Linked DNA regions of Caenorhabditis elegans. The protein of the gene in region 3 purifies or fractionates together with the protein of the main gene of each other region. This does not show direct contact. Each region holds a gene or a part of one and is shown on either strand. Other genes may lie near its edges.

What was found.
Region 1: the proteins of cdk-7 (region 3) and hint-1 fractionate together in Caenorhabditis elegans (co-fractionation; one large-scale study listed by BioGRID). This does not show direct contact.
Region 2: the proteins of cdk-7 (region 3) and pold-1 fractionate together in Caenorhabditis elegans (co-fractionation; one large-scale study listed by BioGRID). This does not show direct contact.

What each region holds. Positions count from the first base shown.
Region 1 is NC_003279.8:7,278,073-7,283,451, reverse strand, and holds hint-1 (Histidine triad nucleotide-binding protein 1), read left to right. Parts: upstream 1-3,124; 5' UTR 3,125-3,140; coding exon 3,141-3,263; intron 3,264-3,307; coding exon 3,308-3,445; intron 3,446-3,519; coding exon 3,520-3,651; 3' UTR 3,652-3,782; downstream 3,783-5,379. Other genes in the region: pfd-6 (putative prefoldin subunit 6), read left to right, coding at 1-57, 196-322; rde-2 (SH2 domain-containing protein), read left to right, coding at 581-816, 860-1,010, 1,071-1,220, 1,268-1,366, 1,485-1,544, 1,591-1,992, 2,041-2,260, 2,306-2,713 and 1 more; F21C3.7 (Small integral membrane protein), read left to right, coding at 3,843-3,957, 4,128-4,327, 4,546-4,650; Putative tyrosinase-like protein tyr-3, read left to right, coding at 4,926-5,060, 5,143-5,275.
Region 2 is NC_003283.11:12,038,055-12,046,895, reverse strand, and holds pold-1 (DNA polymerase delta catalytic subunit), read right to left. Parts: upstream 5,341-8,841; 5' UTR 5,287-5,340; coding exon 5,200-5,286; intron 5,120-5,199; coding exon 4,871-5,119; intron 4,826-4,870; coding exon 4,454-4,825; intron 4,411-4,453; coding exon 4,277-4,410; intron 4,230-4,276; coding exon 3,500-4,229; intron 3,455-3,499; coding exon 2,441-3,454; intron 2,395-2,440; coding exon 1,946-2,394; intron 1,901-1,945; coding exon 1,690-1,900; 3' UTR 1,549-1,689; downstream 1-1,548. Other genes in the region: F10C2.5 (alpha-1,2-Mannosidase), read right to left, coding at 1-80, 143-735, 784-978, 1,032-1,464; Protein kup-1, read left to right, coding at 6,030-6,119. UniProt on the Caenorhabditis elegans protein: Possesses two enzymatic activities: DNA synthesis (polymerase) and an exonucleolytic activity that degrades single stranded DNA in the 3'- to 5'-direction.
Region 3 is NC_003279.8:2,285,800-2,293,340, reverse strand, and holds the start of cdk-7 (Cyclin-dependent kinase 7), read left to right. Parts: upstream 1-3,587; 5' UTR 3,588-3,593; coding exon 3,594-3,698; intron 3,699-3,753; coding exon 3,754-3,855; intron 3,856-5,598; coding exon 5,599-5,778; intron 5,779-7,002; coding exon 7,003-7,110; intron 7,111-7,160; coding exon 7,161-7,271; intron 7,272-7,541. Other genes in the region: Y39G10AR.11 (TPR_MLP1_2 domain-containing protein), read right to left, coding at 1-124. UniProt on the Caenorhabditis elegans protein: Serine/threonine kinase involved in cell cycle control and in RNA polymerase II-mediated RNA transcription. Required for maintaining chromosome ploidy. May phosphorylate the large subunit of RNA polymerase II, ama-1.

The DNA.
Region 1 (5,379 bases), 5.0 Mb from region 3:
TTTGGAGGAGGCTCGATCGACTGTGGAGAAACGGCTTGAGTTTATCGACTCTGAGACGTGAGTTGTAACGTTTATCATGTTTCTTTAGTATTACTTCTTGCACGCTATTGATTTACACGAAACAAATAAAAATAACAAATAAATTTTACCTTTAAACGTTTTAAAATGCAACAAAACTTTAATTACAATTTTCAGCAAACGAGTGGAAGCCAGCATCTCAGACATTTCGAAGAAGTGTACGGAACAGCGAGACAAGGTGATGAATATGCAAAAAAGCTTCCAGATGATGGCTCAAGCAGCAGCCCAAGCACAGAAGAAATAATCCAGTTTGTTCTATGAATCTCATATTTTTTGCTCTTAATTTGTTATTTTTTGCCTATTCTTCATCTCTGGTGTTTCTCCGAAACGAGAAGATCACATTAATTTTTCTATGAAAAAAATAAGTTTCTTGTTTCGGGGAACCATTTACAATAAATGCTTTCAAACTGTTTTATACCATTTGTGCTCACGTCTATGTTAAAAGTCATTGCTAATTACATCAGTTCTGATTTATAACTATATTCATTTTCTTGCTATTCAGATGCATAATGGGTACCATTCTTATTTTCCTCCAAATCACTATTATGCTCAAAGTCAGCCATCATCGTCGTATAATCCCCAACCACAAATTCAACAACCGCAAACCCAAATATATGGATTGGTAGTTGGTTACAATAAATATGGAAACAGAAATTATCTTTTCTATACCAAAAATATCGATGGATTTGTCGAAATCAGTGGAAATATTCAGAGCCTGCAGATAGGACGCTGGCTAAAGTTAGACATTATTTTATCTGATTTTATTAACTAGCAATTTTAGATTAACTGTTTGTCAGAACTTCGTGGGACAATACGTATTGGATTCCTCAAATAGTTGTGGATATGAAAACTGGGACGTTTTGCCGAATCACAGAAATTCATCGGCGAGATTCTTTCCGAAGTATGAGGCTAACGATGAAGGAGAAATTTTGGTAATCTCAAATGGAAAAAGTTTTAATAAATAAAGAGTACGGATTTTTATAATTTTTCAGATAACAGCTCGATTTGATGTAATAGTAGATCGGAAAAATAATTTGTATGATTTCACCAGTTACGATATTTCCTATGATCATATTATTGACGACTTTAGTCTGATCAAATCATCATGTCAACACTATGATGGACGCAGTTTTATTGTTGAAGTAAGTTATCGATTTTAAAAAAAACTATTAAAATAAAAATATTGCAGGCTCAAGCATCTCTGGCAGGTTGGGTCGCATTGAGTGTGCATGAAGATCCACAAAAGCTACACACCTGTGATGCTGTAAGCCGAAATGGATATCAATCAGTATGTGGCAAAAGTGTCCTGGTTCATTTTGAATTGTTCACATTTTGGTTTTTGCTTATCAAAATTTCCCAGAACATATAAGCCACAACCTCCTGCAGTTTACATAATATAATTTCAGCTCCCGAATCCAGTCGTTGATTCTGATGTACAGTATCTTCATGATACAAGACTGTTGGATGTATGTGACTTATAGTTCAGAATTTTTCAAGTAATCACATTTTTAGATTATGACTGGTAATGGATATGTTCAAACACCCGAAACCGACGTACAAGATCAACAATCAAGTCAACATCAAGAAGACGTGCATTCTCAAATGAACTCGCAGACATCTGATTCGTACAATTCCTCTAGAGTTGTGTCAGAGAATCGGGAAATACCTCCGGAAACTTTTCGAAGCCAAAGTATCGAATTGAATCAAGTTGATTCATCCTTGTCCCAGACTACAATCTCAAGTCGAGCAGCACCAGTTATTGATTCAAATCAGTTATCAGATGAAGATGAAATTGATGATGAAGATACATACGGAACACGTGGAACATCTAATATTCCGATGAGACCGTTTATTAAAGATTTAGCTCCAACGATGCTTCAACTGCTTCGTCAAGATAAAACTGATTCCGAAAAAGTACGTAATGCCAGAACAATAATATTAATCTTCATCACCATATTTCAGCCTCAATCTGCTTTATGCACCGTTGTGCAAAAAATCGATGGCTTTGCAATTTTGTACACAGCCAAAAGAGACGTTATAAACGTTTTGCTTCAAGAAAGATCGTGTGAAGGATTGGAAAGATCCCCTCAACTCGGAGACGTGGCATTCTTCGATATCTTGCCTCGTAGAATTGAAACAAAAGATAGGCTCATTTTCAAGATTCCATATACACATATTGCAGGTATTTTACAATTTACCAATGTTTTAAAAAAACTTTAATTTTAAGTGAAAAAGAAACCAGACACGCCAGATTCTCTCCTTAAAATTGATTGCTTTAAAAACTCGGTCAGATGCTTCGGAGGAGTGCTTGAAATGAAAGTAAAAATCGCACTTTCAAAACCTGAACTAGTAGTGGAGCAATATCATGACAACACAGAGATGAACTCGGATCATCATTTTTATTATTTGAAAGCAACAAATGGAGTACTTGTCACAATTCCAAAAGAACGTCTTCTGAATCATTTGAATTCGAAATTATCAGCAGATTTTGACCTAATCGCGTGGGTTGTTCATCGAAAACCAATTGGAAATGTTTCATTACATATTGGAAAGGGAGGTGAAGCTTATCAACAGTTCACAAATGGAGATATTCGAGAGCTTCCGCCATTGTCTTCTAATCAATATTTCATGAATGGTAAGTAAGAGGGAAACCGAGTTTTCGAAGAAACCTAGGAGAATTCTTGGTTTTCTATTCAAATTATTATTTCAGTTCGAAAGTAAAAACTGCACAATCGACAAATCACGTTATGGGTTCAAATTGTATTCTGGTACATTAATTCTTGTTCTTGTGTTAACTTTTTTGATTATTTTTTGTATCATTTTACTGATTAAAGCATTTATTTTCACATGTTTATTGTTTATTTCTCGTTGTCTAGCGTTTTCATCGTTTGAAATATATTGCATATTGGTTATTTTTTGCCCATTTTTCAATATTTTAGTATGGCTTCCTCTTTGGTTAAAACCGCTTTGCGTCTTGCTTACCGTAATCCAGTTAGGTCAGGGTTACTGTAGGCAAGGTGTCTTTATCGATTCCACCATTTTTCAGGTTTACAAAGAGAAACATGTCGGAAGTAGATAAAGCCCACTTGGCGGCAATTAACAAAGATGTTCAAGCCAACGACACTCTTTTCGGAAAAATAATTCGAAAAGAGATTCCAGCGAAAATCATTTTTGAAGATGATGAGGTATGTAAGATCAGGCAAACGATCACATAAAATATTTATTTAAGGCTCTCGCATTCCATGATGTCTCTCCACAAGCTCCAATTCATTTTCTTGTGATCCCTAAGCGTCGCATTGATATGCTCGAGAATGCCGTTGATTCGGATGCTGCGCTTATTGGAAAGCTTATGGTTACTGCTTCAAAGGTAATTATAAATGAGTAAAAACGAATTTGAAAATCCAGAAATCTCCATTATATTACTCTTAAATAAAATTCCAGGTTGCAAAGCAGCTCGGCATGGCCAATGGATACCGTGTTGTTGTGAACAATGGAAAAGATGGAGCTCAATCAGTTTTCCATCTTCATCTCCACGTTTTGGGAGGACGTCAGCTCCAATGGCCACCTGGATAAATATTGCATTGCTTACATTCTGCCACTAATTCATTATCAGTCTTGTAAACAAATCAGTAAAAAATTATATTTATATTTATTTCCAAAACTATTTTAAACCGTGGCATCATGTTTTTTGAAATAAATGCATTCTTTTTCTTCTATCTGACGTGTTCAATTATTGAAACAATTAATCATTTCTGGTATAAAATATGACGCTGTACGATAAAGTGAAATCAATTCTGACGATTCCTGACAAAAATAGTAACGATTCGATCGTCAACGCAACTGACTTGTACTTGGAGTGGGAGAAAGGAGACGGGCAGTGTAAGTGTCACGTGTTTCAATGGCAAAGAAAGAGTTTTTAAATGTCATGAAATATGAATGTCGCCGGGCCCGGTTAGCTCAGCCGGTAGAGCACCAGACTCTTAATCTGGTTGTCGCGGGTTCGAGCCCCGCATTGGGCTGATCTTTTTGTATAGTTCAATTTTTTTCAGATCTTCTTCCACTCTTATTGATTTTCGTTATCTTCTTTTGCATAACTTGCGGTGTGTTTCAAGCTTTGTTGAGCCTTGTGGTTCTCTGTATCAGAAGCCTTTGCGGATTTGATGAGGAAGATGAAAACTTCAATATCAATGGAAACCACTTTGCTAGAAATTCGACACCTTCTGAACATCACGAGGAAATTGGAAATTTGGTACGGTTGTTTTAAAAGGTTTTTTGATTATTATATTTAGAAAATAACAATATCAGAAAATCACAATAACGGCCATTCAGATTTTATTCAAAGCGTGTCCTTTCCATGGTCATAAACATGATGGAAGATCCAAATTAAAAGTAATTAAGTGATTGAAAATGATTATGGGACCTTTTGAATGAAATTTTGTTTCTCAACCTAATGTAAGTCTATTTTAGATGGGAACTGAAGCTGCATCCATATCTGAACTTCCTCAATATGGAACACCACGAACCAGAAAATCGAATACTTCTTCATCTCAGAACAGATGCCTTTCAGTTTGATTCGTTGAGTGAATTGGATTCTCAAACTTGATAACTCGTACCTTGATATCTCAATAAAAAGAAAATGAAAACTATGATAAATTCATATTCCCAAATTTCTACCATCCACTTGTTATTATTAATCTTTGTGTTTTCTTCTGTTATTTTTGTTAAAACATCTTCCTTAAAAACAGGTCGAGATAGAAAGTGTACTGTTCCAGTGTCACGACAATCAACAAAATTGCAAGAGTATAAGAGAACAATTTACAAAAATTGGATTGGAAAATATAACAAAAATGATCCGGTATATTATTCTGCTAGTATATTTTCTAATTTTTGAAGTAAACTCTCAGTTAGACTGCTCAAAAGCTCCAACTCCTGCTATTCGAATAATGTGTAATCAGATTCAAAGATGGGATCAAAAAGCAAGGGTAAGTGGTTTAAGGATTACATTATTTGAAGAAATGTACTGAAATTATTCTTAAACTTTTGATGCATAATCTTAAAGTTCAGGCAACTCCATCATTATCCGGTGACGTGAAAACACCTGGAATTGCTGGTAAAGCAATGGCTGCTGAATTTTCTCCAATTGCAAGTAATGTGTTTCAATGTATGGATATCGCTTGTCTTTGTGTATTTTTCAGAGGTAAGTAACATAATCTGTCATAATTTTGACAATTATAAAATAGCCTCAAAGCTGATCTATAAAAGATAAATGTAATATAGAATGTAGAATCAATTTGTGAGCTT
Region 2 (8,841 bases), on a different chromosome or scaffold from region 3:
ATTCTATCTTCAATACTATGCTCTTTTACATTGTTGATTGTAGCATAGCCACATTTAGTTCGGGCTGATGATTCTATTGCCTGAAATTTAAACTTTTTCAAACGCATTAAGCTCAAGATTTAGTTTAAAATAAAAAACTAACATCAATCATTTCAGCTCCAAGTTCTAACCACGTTTCATCCTTTGTCGCTCTATACAGATACATCAATGATTCAACCATTTCAGGCCGTAAAGGAAATGCGGCTCGTTTTTCTCCTGGCTCTTCATTATGAATGTTATAAAATTCAGGTGGGAACCCGTATTTTCGTATAACTTCAGAATATGTTAACATAATTCTTGATGCATCTTGAACATCACCAACCATTGTTAGAGTTCCAGGCCAGAATGCTTCAAGAGATTGAAAAATTGGCAAGGAGACAGATCCTTTGGCCATTGATACCCACATAAACCATTCACCTTTCCGAACATGTTTATTAATTGATGTTGCATGTTCATGAAATTGTTTCATAAGACTTGGTCTTCTGAATAGATATGCTCCTTTTGCTAAATACTCGAAATAACTATCAACGCCAGCACCAATTCCAGAATCAGTTGCCGTCCATTGTCCTGTTTGAACATTGATATGATTGCCCACGAGTCCGATTGGTGATCTTGTCGACCATAAAGCATCCAACGCTTTTAGAGCCACTTTTTCGTATTTGTCATCGCCAGTCAAACGTGAGAGGGTACCAAATTCTTCAAAAAAGGAAGTTAGCCGGATATTATTAAAATCTTAAAAATTACCAATAAGAAATGTGCCCACACCAGCTGTACAAGTAATTGGTGTTTCATCTTTATGAACTCCATATTTCAAGTTAACAGTTCCATAGGGCATTCCAGTTTCTGTATTGAAAGCAGGCATAAGTCGATCAGCCATTTTAACAGCTAATTTGAGAAGCGGACTATCACATGGATAACCTTCCCAATCTACGACAAGATCTGGAATGAATCTTATGATGGTTTAGTAATATTCCTTGTGAAATTTAAATTACCTTTATGCCTTCCCGCTAGCATATGTGCAGATATTAATCCGCCAACAACTCTGATATTCGTCTCGAAAACAGAAACATTCACATTAGCATCATCACGAGCTTTCTCAAGAACAAGTGACACTGCTCTTCGGAATTCGGTTGTATTTCCCATCACCAGAAGAGTATCTAGAGCATCAATTAATGAAAGAGAGAATGATCCCCAGGTGTCTTGTCCAACGCATGTTATTGGTTTCAGTTCATCTAGTGGAAATGCATGATCCAAATATCCGTTGTAGGCGTGGTAGAACATTTTTTGAACTTTTTCTCTATAAGAATCAATAACTGATGGAGTGAATCTTATTGAAGACTTTTTATTATCGGGAGCTTCGGAATCATCTGATGCTTGAATAATTGACGCTAATGCTAAAAAGAATATTGCTTTTCGAGTGATCATCTGAAAATTGTGGTATTTTAAATTCAAATTTAATATATCAGACAAGTATTTTAAGCGATTATCGCTTACAAAAAAGTTTAAAGAATTAAAAACATATGTTTTAATCATCAACGCGAGTTTATAAGATAACCAGTAATAAAGAAAAATGTGTGATGAGATGAATAGTGTGGTAAGATCATTCACAGTCAATAATAATTAGACAAATAAACCGGGATCATAATTAATTCATTTAGTAGGTGCCTGGAAGCAAGGATCTCCAAATCGTTCGATGACGGCACTTGCCTCCGATAGCTCGTTTCGAACTTTTTCCCTCATATAGTAGATCGGACAGTCTCGAGCCGAGCAATTCACTTTGTCTTGCATAGTCTTTGCACAATTTTGGCATTCGGTCCAGAGGCGACCAAAATGGTTTTCAAGTTCGTGCATAGTGTTCATTCTGAAATGAAAAATATAGTAGAACAATTATTGCATTTCTAATTACCTAGAAGCAAAAATCGTTGGAAGCTTCGGCTCACAGTGTTTGCAAACTGCGTTCTCTGATTCTGCTCTTGGTAAAACACTCTTGCAACCAAGACAAGTTGCAGATTTCGTTGTGAACGCTGCAAGACCTCCAACTTTACTCTGAACGACTGTACGAACTCTTGTATGTTCTCCTTCCACCAGAATCTTTTCTGCTCTATCACCCAAGATGGGCTCGAAAATTCTGGCAAGTGGTTTGGCGAGTTGATTAGTCAAGTAGTGTTTGGTGTCCAATGGAATGTTATTTTGAAGTACAAAAGTTGGATCTTCAGCTCGTTCGTATGCCGGAACATTTTTTGCAGCAGCGACAAAAACATATGGAACTCTATCTCCAAGTCTTGGTGCACTTCCAGCGTCTCTTTTCTTCATACGAGCCGCCAACTCAACGTGAGCTTGCTTTGCTTGATATTTCTGAACATAATCAATTAGTTTCGTAAGGTTTTGAAATCGAACTTACATCTCCAGACTTTGTTAATTCCTTACTGATAATCAACAATGAGATATCAATTTTATTGCAGAGCAAGTCACTAATTGTCCGTTTCGCAAAATCCAAAGCAGATTGTTGATCTCTTTCTATTAGTAATTTCTCGAGGCAAACACCGAGAACTTTTGCAACCAGAGGGCAGTTATCACGGCGAACAGTTTCTAATCCTTTACAATCCATCTTGTCATGAACATCCGGTTTAGTGAAGTAAAGGCCAGCGTATCTCTTTTTGTTAATAAGTAAATATGGGGAGTAAACTTTCTCGAATTCAAGTTTGATCGGCGGAGTGAAAATCTTGCTGACTTCTTTAGCAGCATCGAGTCCAATTTCCATTGCTTGAGCTACAGTTTCGACACCGAATTTCACCATTACAGAATCTGTATCGCCATAAATAACTTTCGCATCTGCTGGACATTTTCCATCGAGAGCTCCTTTTTTGTAAATTCTCTCCACTTCGAGTTTCGTCATGTCAATCATTTTTCTTCCGAAAGCTGTAACTGATTGAGAAATCTCGAGACATGGCAACTTTCCAACAGTTGCACCAGTGAAACCATAAACAGAATTTGCAGAGATTTTAAGCGCCAATTGTCGTCCATTGTAAACCATTCTTTTGAACTCGTCTTTCTCGTTTTTCATATCGTTCTTCGCTCGTTTTCTTGCAGCCAGAATATCCTCGAGAATCTCGGGAAGAAGCCCACGGCGCTTAGATTTGGTTGCAAAATATTGGCCAGATGGTGTCCGAATATAATCCTCATTCTCAACTCCTTGTGGGGATTTTAAAAGTGTCGTGTAACAGAGATTATGAGCAATCATAATGGATGGATATAGAGAAGCGAAATCAAGTGTTGCAATTGGTTCATTGTAAAATCCTCGAATCGGATCAATGACAGTAGCACCTTCGTATCCTTCACCATCCCCAGAATTGGCTTCAATTACCGGTAAGAAGAAATTGTTCTGCTTACATCTTCGTAGCATCATTGATAGAATCTACAACAATTTCAGTATTATAATTTAAAATATATTTTGATTTACCTTGATTTGTTGACCTTTTGTCAGTAAGAAATTCATAGGAACTCCGGTGACTCTAGCCATTTCGATGTAATTAATAATTGACATTAATTTATCAAGCAGACGAAGAGGAAGATATGCGTCTTTCAAACAATATTGAGCCAATCGCCTCCTAGTTTGTTCATCTCCTCGTTGTAAATCAGGAATAATATTATGTTCCACATCTTCTTTTTGTTCGGATAAAAATTGATATGAGACACTATTGAGTGTATAACTTCGGAGTTTGTAATCCCGAAGTACAACTTGAAGTACATCAAAAATAATTCTTCCGTGAATATCGATACTCTTGTTCACTCGACTTCCCATCTGTTTCGATGATATTGCAGCATCTCTTACAACTGAGCCTTTTTCTTTCTGACGACCAAGATGAGAAACTTGTGGCAGTGATAGAACTTTAGCACGATCCAGAATGTATGGAAGATCAAAATTGAGAATGTTATATCCAGTGATAATGTCGGGATCCACTTCACGAACAAATTCAGCCCACTTTTCGAGAAGAACTTTTTCATTCACACATTGAATGATATTTGAACCGACGACCGGTGCACATGTTCCAAGAACGAAACAATTACGAACAAATGGTTCTGCTTCACCTTCGATTTTCACAAGATTAGCTATTTGAATAATAGGATCTTTAATTGCTTCGGGAAACACTCCACGTCGACCAATACATTCGATATCCAGAGACAAAGTACTAAAAAAGTTATTTTTTCAAAAGTAAGTTCAAACTTTCAAACTTACCGAATAGGAGCAATTCCAGCCCATTCACCATCACTTTCATGAACAATCAGGTTTTTGACCGGAACTGTGACTTCTATTTGACAACGAGACGACTTTTCACTGTTTGAAAGAATTCGGCACTTTCCAGCAGGAATCTGAAATCATAAAGAATTAAAAAAAAACTAATATTGTCAAAACCTCAATCCAGCCACATCCAACAATATTCGTTTTCGCCAAGAACATGACAATCACATTAATATTTGACTCGTATAAATTCCCAACGTTCACAGGACCCTTTCCCATCAAGTTAACTCCATTTTTCAATTCCATTCGCGCTTTGTGAAGAGCTTCTGTAGATCCTGACACCTTGACAAAAGGAACTTTCGTATCAGCACCGCGGAAGTAATAAAGATTCTCTCCGTGAACTATCTCCACATGAACAAGATTATCAACTACTTTTCCAGGCAATTGAGCTTGACCGCTACCACCTCGGCGTTTTGCTGCAGCAACCATATTGCAAATTGCAGATTGTGCAGTTCCAATGTGCTCGACACCGAATCCTTGTGGTGCCTGTAAGAAATATTACCAATACTTATTTTTTAAAGCTTAGATTACCTGGAAATAAAAATGTGGAAAGTAGTCAGTCACAATGACACAAATCGAATTTCCAGATTTGGTTACACCATACAACTTCACATTTGTTCTGTCGTAAGATGTTGCAGAGCCGTCTTCATGATACGTTTCGACCTCTAAGATCTGACACGCAATGCTTTTGCTAATTCCGAGATCTTTATCGACTGCTGGCCTGGCCCATCCTGTTTTATCAATCGTTGGTACAGATGGAAGTTCATTTTCGAATCTTGACTGAAAATAAATGGTTAGTGATCATTAAAAATAAAAAATGCAATTTTTAAAAGCTTGAAATCATAATATGAAAAACTTACAACGTAACACTGCTCGAATTCGTCACTTTCACGCTTTCGCTTCACTTCTGGTTGAAACGAGCTCCCGCCAGGACGCTTGGAGGTCATTTCTGATAAAACTCAGCATTAGAACAATAAATAAACTATGAAAGTAGAAAGAAATTGTTTGTCAAAATAGTAATGTAAACGTGCTCAAACGAAACGCCGCGAATCGTTTTTTTGTCTGAACAAACGTTTAAAGATTTAATAGGGAGAGAATTAAGGCGATTAGGTGGGAATTTAAAGTTTCATAACATCGAAAATCCGTTTAGATTGTGATAATCAATAAATAAAACAATAAAATAAGAATTGAAAGTCAATTTTTTTTATTTCCAAATCTTTTCGCTTTGTTTTGCCGCGCATTTTGGGTAGCGAATGTGCGCTCCACTGCAAAAACATTTCTACCGCGCTGTTTGAAATCTGTTTTTTGGGCCAATCGATTTTACGGTTTTGTTTGGAAGCGTTTTTCACTGAGAAAAACCTGGCCACTATTTCCTCGCATTCTTTTATATGTTTTTTTTTTCGAAAAATCAAGCTAATGCGCTATGATAAATTTGTATTACCTTATTTTGTTCAATCTCGACTTTTTGCTTTCAGCTCTCGAGTTTTATTGCGCGAAAAGCATATTTACCGTCCTTTGAACATTTTCTACTCGTTTAAAATAGTTATTGTTGCGAGATATATTGAACGCCTTCTTCAAACTCTTTTCGATCATTGAAAAATATATTTATTCATTGTTGAACTTTTCTCCCTTGTCTTCATTGTGCATAACAGTTTAAATGTATCTAAATTTTATTTATTTCAGCAGAGACATGGACGACGAGCTCGATTATGGATCGGATCACTCAATACACGGCGACGTTAGAGAAGATCTGAGTGACAGCGAGCTTCAACTACCGAAGGTGAGTAGTTTTCAAGATAAATCTGTTTAAAATATTACGTCTGAAATTTTTATAAATATTTCGATATTATCAAAGTGAGAAATTGCGAATTCAAATTTGACTACAAAGAGGAAGATGCAAGATGATCGGCTCGTTTTTTTCGAGAGCGTTTTGTTTGTTTGAATTGGGAAACTTTTGATCGTTTTGCTGGAGTCAAGTTTAATGACGCAATTCTTCATTTTGAAAATATCGCATAAAAATTTAAATAGTTCAAGCTTTTTCTTCCAGTGATCTCTGCAAAGTATAGTTCTGGTTACAATCTAGTGAAATTCCAGGGTTTAAACTTTAAAACTTCCATAGCTTGGCTGAAGTTTTGTACTTGTGTGGACCTGACTTCAAGATGAAAGTTGCCGTTTGACTCGCTTTGTCTAGAAAGTGAATTTGCTTTATTTCTGTGAGAGTGAGCGTTCTAAAATGACATTTTGTAACACGTGGAAGAAATGTAGGATCGGCCACTGAATTCTCCTTCATCTGTAAAGAATTATTAAAAAGTATGTCGTGTCAATTCATTCTGGACAGTCCATTCTATAACCCACGAACGAGCGACTAATTACTTCATAATTTAAGCCGACTTGTTGACACGACACACTGGCGGTCAGTATTATCCAGAGGATGAGGTTGCTGTGTAATTACAGCGTGTTCTTAGTCTCTCTCTCTTTCTGTCTTTTTCATCCTCATCTCTCACATACAGACGCGAACATACACAAAACGCCCGCAGGTAATTGAACACAAACAGCCTGGTGGTTAAGGTAGTGACCGGGACAACGATGACGACGTCCGGAGGAAAGTGATGGAAAAGACAGGAAAGAAACAGAGAAAGACTGTCGACTGCGGCGGCGGCGACGGAGAAGGAGAGCCCCTATTGTGCCCCTCTTCGTCAGGCCATTCATCGTGTGTCCTTGTGTTGCTCCCCTCCAATTCAATACCGTCTGCGGTGGTGGAGGTGGTGGTCTCCCGAACCGAACCGCCGCGGAAATATTTGTCTAACAACTCGATGACACAAAAAGTTTTACGACAATGCCGACGATTGTAGATGGCCTTTGTATATGTAATTATCGTGACGTGGCATTTTGAGTCGATCATTGCTATTTCATGTTGCACGAAATATTGAAATCTCACAGAGAACACCAGGACCTCTATAGGTATTCGTCGCATCCCGAATCAGCTCGGAATAAGTATCAGTAACATTTGACTTCAAATCCTCCGTGATTTGCAGAAATATAAAGATTTGTAGAAACTGAAAATGTATAAATTTCAAGCGATTTTTATTACAAGAATGTTTGCCGATGCTTCTTCTTCTTCCAAATCATAATATTCAATGGAATTATTGCAGCTTTGTCTTTTTATGACACCGTCATGCTATTCCTATCGCTGTCTTACTTTTGAAACTCAATTCTCAACTGAACGAAGATTCGCTTCCCTAGATATTTGCGAGAATATATACTTGCGAATTAATATCTTAATTTTGATGTTTTCCCACACTTTAGCTTTTCTACTATTCATATAATGTAGGAATAAGTACTGTTAGTATGTTTTCCGATTCTTCCAAACAAGGCCTATTTGTGATGGGATCATTCAATGTACTCTATTGACACCATTTGTTAGCTAAAGCCCAGAGCTTGCTGAAACGTGAGGCGGGGAGGAGTCGTCGTCCCGCCCCTTTTGGCTGTGTGCGCGCCCTCCTCTCGCCTCCTCCATCCGTCCTCTTGCCCCGCTCATTCTTCGTCGCTCCTCGTCCTCCTATTCCACCCTCAATATGAGCGGTCGTCGAATGTGTCTCCCCTTCTCCCTCAGTGTATGTGTATGTGAGTGTATGAGCGACGGCGCGCGCGCCTTCAGTCGTGTTCTTGTGCCCATGGCGCTCTGTTTCATCCGTGCATCCCAACGAACGACTTCTATTCTAGTCCAGGTTCCTTCTAGAGGCCACCATTCTAATAACTTCTCATCCTCAACACAGGTTGTGCCATCCGGCCGCCTGATACTTTCGTCTCAACCTCGCTGTCAGATTGGTCGTAGGTGAGCAAAGTTTCAGGTGTGCCGGAACACACCCATACTTTGCCTAATTGGTAGTTGTCAAGGTTAGTTTAGTTGCAAAACAATGGGTGGCATATAGGTCCCAACTGTTGGCTATCGCTATTGTCCCCGCTATTTCGCTCACGGCGTATGTATGTATGTATGTATGTGTGTGTGTGTGTGTGTGTGTGTGTGTGTGTGTGTGTGTGTGTGTGTGTGCAAAATATTTTATTTAAAAGAGCTGGAAGGATGTTGAAAAGTGGAGCGACAAGAAAAAAGGGAAAGACGACAAAGACGGGACAACTATGTGTTGTACATTTGTGACGGAGACTAGGCGGTTATTTCGCGCTCATTCAAAATGCTGCTATGGTACGTCGTGGACGCTCACACCAATTATATATTGATGATGATGATGTTGTTGTAATTGTGTATAGTCATATTTGTACAAGGCTTTGACACATTTAGTGAAGTGAAACGAATTGCTGTTTGACTCTGAATAGTTTCAAATTATAATCAAAAAATCTCAACATATCAGTTGATTTTGGCATAAACATCAATCCTAGGTAGAATGATTAGTGAGCTGTTGATTCATTAGTCATAGCTTTTGTTCTGCTCGATAGTCGTCATTTGATTAGAAATTTAGATTTCCTCTCAAACCTTGTGATATGCC
Region 3 (7,541 bases):
CACAGTCAGTGCGAAGAGCCAACGTCAGTCGAAGACTCTTATTCTCATCCTGAAGCTCGGTCACTCGACGCTCAAGTGAGCTGCTAGTCTGCTGATAGGTGGGAAGTTCCTGCTGCTGAGACATTTTGGAGATCTGCGGATAGGATGATGCTCTTCAACTGCCAAGGAGACGGGGCAGTGTAAAGAGTGTGAAGCGTTGAGTTTTCTACCTGAAATAGGGGAAGTTCGTAAATGATGGAAGCTTGGGAAAAAGGAAAAAAGGAAAAAAGAAAAAAAAAGTTGAGAAGAAAAGAGAAATAGGCAAGTAAGGGGCAAGAAGAAGCATAAGAGTCACGTGCGTACGCACACGAATACGCAGACACCCAAATAGAAATCGATAGAGAAGTGTGGCGGGGGTCCACGGAAGGTGTCCTGGTCTCTTTCCGTCTCTTTATTCTCTCTATTCTCTCGCTACACCCTTCGAACGTTCTCTGCTGTGCACACTATAGATTGGAGAACACTCGTCGGAAAATACTATAGATTTCTATCGTCCGGGGGACCGAGATGGAATCTGTAGAATTGTTGGAAAAGTGAGCAGGAAACCGGGAAGAGATAACAATTGAACGGGAAATTGGAAATTGGAAAACTGTAATAGTTTGGGAAACAACTACAGTTTGGCCGAAGTCTGAGGGCTTTTGAAGTACGATTATTCAACTTTTTGATAATCCAACTACTTCAATGAATAGTTTTTTTTTCCAACGTTTGCCGAAAGGTTTTCCTGTTGTGGAGCTGTCTGGGTGGAATCCAATTGCCGGAATTGAAAATTTCCGGTAAATAGGCAAAATGCCGGAGCCCCCATAGAGTTTTCGTTACTCGAAAAATCGGCAAAAATTGCTGAAGAATGGCCAAGATTTTCTCAGGGGTAAGCGGCAAATCGCCGGAATTGAAAAGTTCCGGCAAATTGGCAAAATGCCAGAATTGAAAAATTCCGACAAATCGACAAACCGGCAAAATGCCGGAATTACAATTTCTGGCAAATCGGCACATTGCCGGAATTGAAAAATTCCGACAAATCGGCAAACCGGCAAATTGCCGGAATTGAAATTTCTGGCAAAAAATCGGCAGATTGGAGGAATTGAAATTTCCGGCAAATTGTCGGAATAGAAATTTCTGTCAAATCGGCAATTTGCCAAAAATGACAAATTCCGGCAAATTGGCAAATTGCCGGAATAGAAATTTCTGGCAAATCGGCAGTTTGCCGAAAATGACAAATTCCGGCAAATCGGCAAATTGCCGGAATAGAAATTTCTGGCAAATCGGCAATTTGCCAAAAATGACAAATTCCGGCAAATTGGCAAGCTTCCAGAATTGACAAATTGAAAATTTCAGACAAAAATCGGCAAATTGACGGAATTGAAAAATTCCGACAATGATTTGTCGGAATCGGAGCAAACCGACAAATTGCCGGAATCGGAATTTCTGGCAAAAAATCGGCAATTTACCGAAAATGAAAAATTCCGAATCAGCTAACCGACAATTTGCCGGAATTGAAATTTCTGGCAAATCGACAATTTGCCGAAAATGACAAATTCCGGCAAATCGGAAAATTGCCGGAATTGAAATTTCCGGCAAAATATCGGCAAATTGTCAGAACTGAAAAATTCCGGCAAACCGGCAAATTGCCAAATTTGCCGGAAAATATCCTTGCCAAGCGGCAATCTCTATTGGCTGATGTAATCAAATTCCATAGGCGTTGCATCTCATCTTTTCACGTGAACAGCACATGTCAAATGTGAAAAACCGGCAAAAATTGAACTGATAAACGAAGACAATGAATGGAAAATTATACATACGATATGTTATAATGTGCATTTAATCTTATCTATCAAAAAGTTCAAGTACTCTTTTTGTTGGAATAAATTGGAAAATTCAAATTTTTCTAATTTCAATTTCATTTTGAAATGAAAGAAAAAAACTTGGTTTCTTATGTGACGAGAGATCACACTGAACAAAAAAACCAGCTTCCAAAACAACATCATCACGAGAAAACAGAGAAAAATGCGAAACAACAAGCAAAAGCTTGGGTGCCGCGTCTGCGTCTCTTTTGTATTTTTGTCGTGTTGTGTGCTTGGGGGGTCTGCTGACTTGTCTCGTCTCTCCATGAACGTCCAATGGAGCGCGGTTGCTAAGGGGTGGTAGACGCATTTTTTCGAAAGTGTGTACTTTGAACCCATTCTTTGCAAGTAGTCGTTCCTATTCATTGCACAGTGAAAGTTGGCTCATAACGCTCAGAATCGCGAAGTTTTCGATTATTTGAAGTATGTTTGCTGTAGATTCAACAAATTTTGGACCTTTGGCAGGTTTTTGAGCAAAAATCGGCAATTCTGGGAAAGAGGCAAACGTTTTTCCGGCAAGTCGGCAAATTTCCGTAATTGAAAATTTCCGGCAAACCGGCAAACTGCCGAATTTGAAATTTCCGGCACGTCGGCAAATTGCCGGATTTGAAATTTCAGGAAAGTCGGCATTTTGCTGGAATTGAATATTTCCGGCAAATTGTCGAATTTGAAATTTCCGGCAAGCCGGCAATTTGCCGAAAATTAAAATTTCTGCCAAATCGGCAAATTGCCGGAATGGAAAATTTCCGGCAAACCGGTAAACGGCAATTGCCAAAAATTTTCGGCAAAGTGTGGTTTTGCACATTCCCTTCTAGAAATTTCAATTTTGATCGGCAAATTTCCGGCAATTTCCCAAATTGCCGGAATGAAAAATTTCCGGCAATTGCAAAACTTGCCGAAAAGACGGCAATTACCAAAAATCAACGGCAAATTGTGTTTCCGTCTTATGAAAAAATCCCACTAAAATGTTCCGGAAAATCGGCAATTTGCCGAAACAGAAAATTTCCGGCAAACCGGCAATTGGACGAATTTTGCCGAGAATGAAAAGTGAAAATTTCCGGCACATGCAGAATTTGCCGGAAAAAACGGTGGTTGCCAAAAATTTTCAGCAAATGGTGTTTCCGTCTTATAAAAAAATCCCTCTAAAAGTTTCCGGCAAATCGGCAAATTGCCAGAATAGAAAATTTCCGGCAAGTTACCGAATTTGCCGAAAAAAACTTGTCAAAAATGGGCCGTTTCTGAGGAGTTTTCCCAAAAAAAAAACTGTAAAATTTCGGTTTTTAATCGAATTTTCACCTTTTTCTACTGAAAATTACACTGAATCTTGATAAAACTGCATGGCAAAAATTCCACAGAGTTTTATTAAATTTCAGTGTAATTTTTAGTCAAAAAAGGTGAAAATCCGATTAAAAACCGATTGTTTTAGAGGATAATTTTTAGTCAGGTGAAAAAAGAATTTTTAGTCAGGTGAAAAAAAGAATTTTTAGTCAGGTTTTAAAAGGTGAAAATTCGATTAAAAACTGATTTTTCTAGGAAATTTCCTAAAAAATAGGCTAGAAGCTGCACATTTTTGCCGTAACTTGACATTTTTTCAGTTATTTCCTAAAAAAAAGTCGAAAATTGACGGAAAACTTGAATTTTTATGTTTTTTCGCTATTTTTGTTCAAAAATCTCCAAAAACATGTGATTTTTTTCCAATTTTTCAAATTTCAGCCCAAAATGAGTAGACGTTACGATACAATAAAGCATCTTGGAGAAGGACAATTCGCCAACGTTTATCTCGCACAAGACCTCGAATCGGGCGAATGTGTGGCTATTAAAAAAGTATTTATACATTTTTCCGCTGAAAAAATGAAAAAAAAACCGCGTAAATTTGTAGATCAAACTAGGATCGAGAGAAGAAGCAAAAGATGGAATCAATCGAACGGCGATTCGAGAGATTAAACTTTTGAAGGAAATTCATCATGACAATATTATCGGGGTTTGGAAATTTTTGGATTCAAATTTGAAATTTTCAGGCCTAGAAGCCCAAATTAAAAAAAAAATCTGTGAAAATTAACTGAGAAAACCGATTTTTTGGCAAATTTTCCAACAAAAGTGAAAATTTAGTGAAGAATATTACACATACGCGAAACATTGTGATTTTTACTCTAAAAATACGTGTTTTTACTGGAAATTGGGAAATTTTGAATTTAAATTTGAAAATTTCAGAAAAAGATGGCCAAAAGATGGCGAAATCTTAAAATTCCTTAAAAATCTGTAAAAAAATAACTGAGAAAACCGATTTTTTGGCAAATTTTCCATGCACTTTTATTGTTAATTGCAAAAATATTACACATACCCGAAAAATTGTGATTTTTGCTCCAAAATTACGGTACCAGGTCTCGACACGACAATTTTTTTGTTAAATGCGAAAAGGTGTGTGCCTTTAAAGTTAGAGTACTGTATCTTCAAACTTTTGTGGAAATTTTCACTGAAAACAGGAAAATTTTGAGTTAAAATTTGAAATTTTCAGACCAAATTTTTTAAAAATCTGTAAAAATTAGCCGAGAAAAAACGGATTTTTTTTTGTCAAATTTTCCATCAATTGTTAGCTGTAAAATATCATTACACATACGCGAAATTTTGTGATTTTTGTTCCAACCTGGTCTCGACACGACAATTTTTTGTTAAATTCGAAAATTCGTGCGCCTTTAAAGAGTACTGTAGCTTCAAACTTTCGTTTCTGCTGGATTTTCATCGGATTTTTACATAGTTTTTTCGATAAAAATTGTATTTATTTATTTAGAAGAAAAATAATTTTTTTAAAAATAAATAAATATATTTTTATCGAAAAAACTATGTAAAAATCCGATAAAAATCCAGCAGAAACGAAAGTTTGAAGCTACAGTACTCTTTAAAGGCGCACACCTTTTTCAATTTGGGTAACAAACAGTTGTTGTGTCGAGACCAGGTACCGTAATTTTGGAGCAAAAATCACAAATTTTCGCTTATGTGTAAAAGCGGATTTAATATTTGAAGTTTTTGAAGAAATTTTTTTTTGAAACAAAAATTCGATTTTTGGTATTAAAAATCCCAAATTTTGCGATTTTTGTTCAAAAATTACGGTACCTGGGGTTTCGACACGACAAGTTTTTGTTAATAGCGAAAAGCTGTGCGCCTTTAAAGAGGCTACTGTAGCTTCAAACTACCGTTTCTGCCGTATTTTCATCGATTTTTCATAGTTTTTTCGATAAAAATTATATTTATTTTTTTAGAAAAAAAAAAGAATCGAGTATAAAGTTTACTATTTATATTTGATTTTTTTTTCTAAATAGAAAAATAAAATTTTTATCGAAAAACTTTGCAAAAATCCGATGAAAATCCGGCAGAAACGAAAGTTTGAAGCTACAGTAGCCTCTTTAAAGGCGCATCACACCTTTATCGATTTAACAAAAAAATTGTCGTGTCGAGACCAGGTACGGTAATTTTGGAGCAAAAATCACAAATTTTCGCGCATGTGTAATTTTTTCATTAAAAATAAAAGTGCATGACCATTTTTCAAAAAAAATTTTTTTTTTGGAAAATTTTACAAAAAAATCGGTTTTTTCTCATTATCAGTTTTTTTTACAGATTTTTTTTAAATTTAAAATTAATAAAATAAATAAATCGATTTTAAAAATTGAATTTTTCTGAAAAATTCGATTTTTGTATTAAAAAATCCTAAATTTTCAATTTTTTTCAGTTACGAGATGTGATTGGACATCGAACAAGTATTCAACTGGTTTTCGACTTTATGGATACAGATCTCGAACATGTGATTAAGGATAAAGAAATTATTCTAATGCCAGCACATATCAAAAATATTACGATGCAAATGCTTCTGGGACTCGAATTTCTACACGTTCACTGGATTCTTCACAGAGTACGGTTTTTGATGGAGAAAATTGGAAATATATTGAAAATTTGCGGAAAATAACTAAATTTCGATATTTTTTTGGCTAAAACCATGAAAAATTGAACTCAAAAGTTATTTTCTGAGTGAAAAAATTAAAAGTTAACAAAAAAAAATTGTTATGATTTAATTTGTAAAAAATATATTCAAAATTTGATGAAAATAGCTAAATTTGATATTTTTGGCAAAATTAACTGGATTTTCGAACTTTTTTGAGGGAAAAAAAAATATTTTAGTGTAAGAAATTTATTTTCCGATTTTTTTTTTGAATTAAAAGCACGAAAAATGACGGAATTCGGATGTTTTTGGCAAGGAATAGTTTAATTAATAAAAATAGACAAAATTCGATGAAATCGAATTTTTTTCGGGCGAAATTCGCTCAAAATTTGAATTTAATGAGTCAAACCGTGAAAAATTGGACTCTAAAATGTTTAAATAATTTTTTTCCGATTTTTACATATTTTTGAAATTATCTTTGAATAAAAATCAGGAAAACCCCGAATTTCGGGTGAAAACTGGCAACAAATCTGGAAAAATTTGGTTTTTATGGCAAATTTTCGAATTTTGAAAAATTCTAATACAAAAAATGTTTTAAATCGAACGAACTCGGATAAAAAGACATTTTTCATTCAAAAATTAGATTTTTCGAATCAAAAAATTCAAAATTTGAATAAACAATTTGGAATTATCAGAATTTTTGCAGTAAAATGTAATAATTTCCAAAAAAAAATCAGAAATTACCAGCCAGTGATCGTTTTTTTTTTTCGAGAAAAATGCGCCAAAAACATGTAATTTTGGGAATTTTTCAAATTTTGTGGTTTTTCCACATTTTCAAAAAAAGGGCTCCAAAAAGTATGAAAAATTGGAAATTTCACAAATTTTTCGGATTTTCTCCTTTTTTTTCGAGAAAAATGCGCTAAAAAACATGAAATATTGGAAAATGTAAAAAATAAAAAATTTTCGGATTTTCCTTTCTTTTCGAAAAAAAATATGGGCCAAAAATCATGAAATATAGGAAAATATTAAAATTTTCAATTTTTTCCTTCTTTTTCAGAAAAAAATGTGCCAAAAAGCATAAAATACTGGAAATTTTTCAAAATTTCTGGATTTTCCCTTTTTTTTTGAAAGAAAAAGCGCCAGATTTTCAATTATTTCCCAAAAAAATATTATATTTTTAAAATTTAATTTTTCCAGGATCTGAAGCCAAATAACCTGCTGATGAACAAAATGGGACGCGTGAAGCTCACCGATTTCGGTTTGGCTCGATTCTTCGGATCTCCAAACAGAAATTACACTCATCAGGTTTAAGAGGATTTTTTTCCTGAAAAAATTGCAAATTTCCCGATTTTCAGGTTGTGACAAGATGGTATCGAGCCCCTGAGTTGCTCTTTGGAGCACGTTCCTATGGAGTTGGAATTGATATTTGGTCGGTTGGATGTATCATTGCCGAATTGTTGTTGAGAGTTCGTTTTTAATGATTTTTTTTGGAGAAAAAATCGAAAATTCGTCAAAAATAGAGTTTCCTTCGAGAAAATCAAAAAATTTGCTTTTTGGCTTTTCTTTTTCGAAAAAAAATAGGAAAAAAACTGGAAAATGTGCAAAATTTCATAATTTTTTGGCGCATTTTTCCGGAAAAAAAAAACCGAAATTTTTAAATATTTTTTTTTCCACTTTTCTTTCGGAAAAATCGGAGAAAAACTGAGAAATTTTGTGAAATTTTCAGTATTTCATAC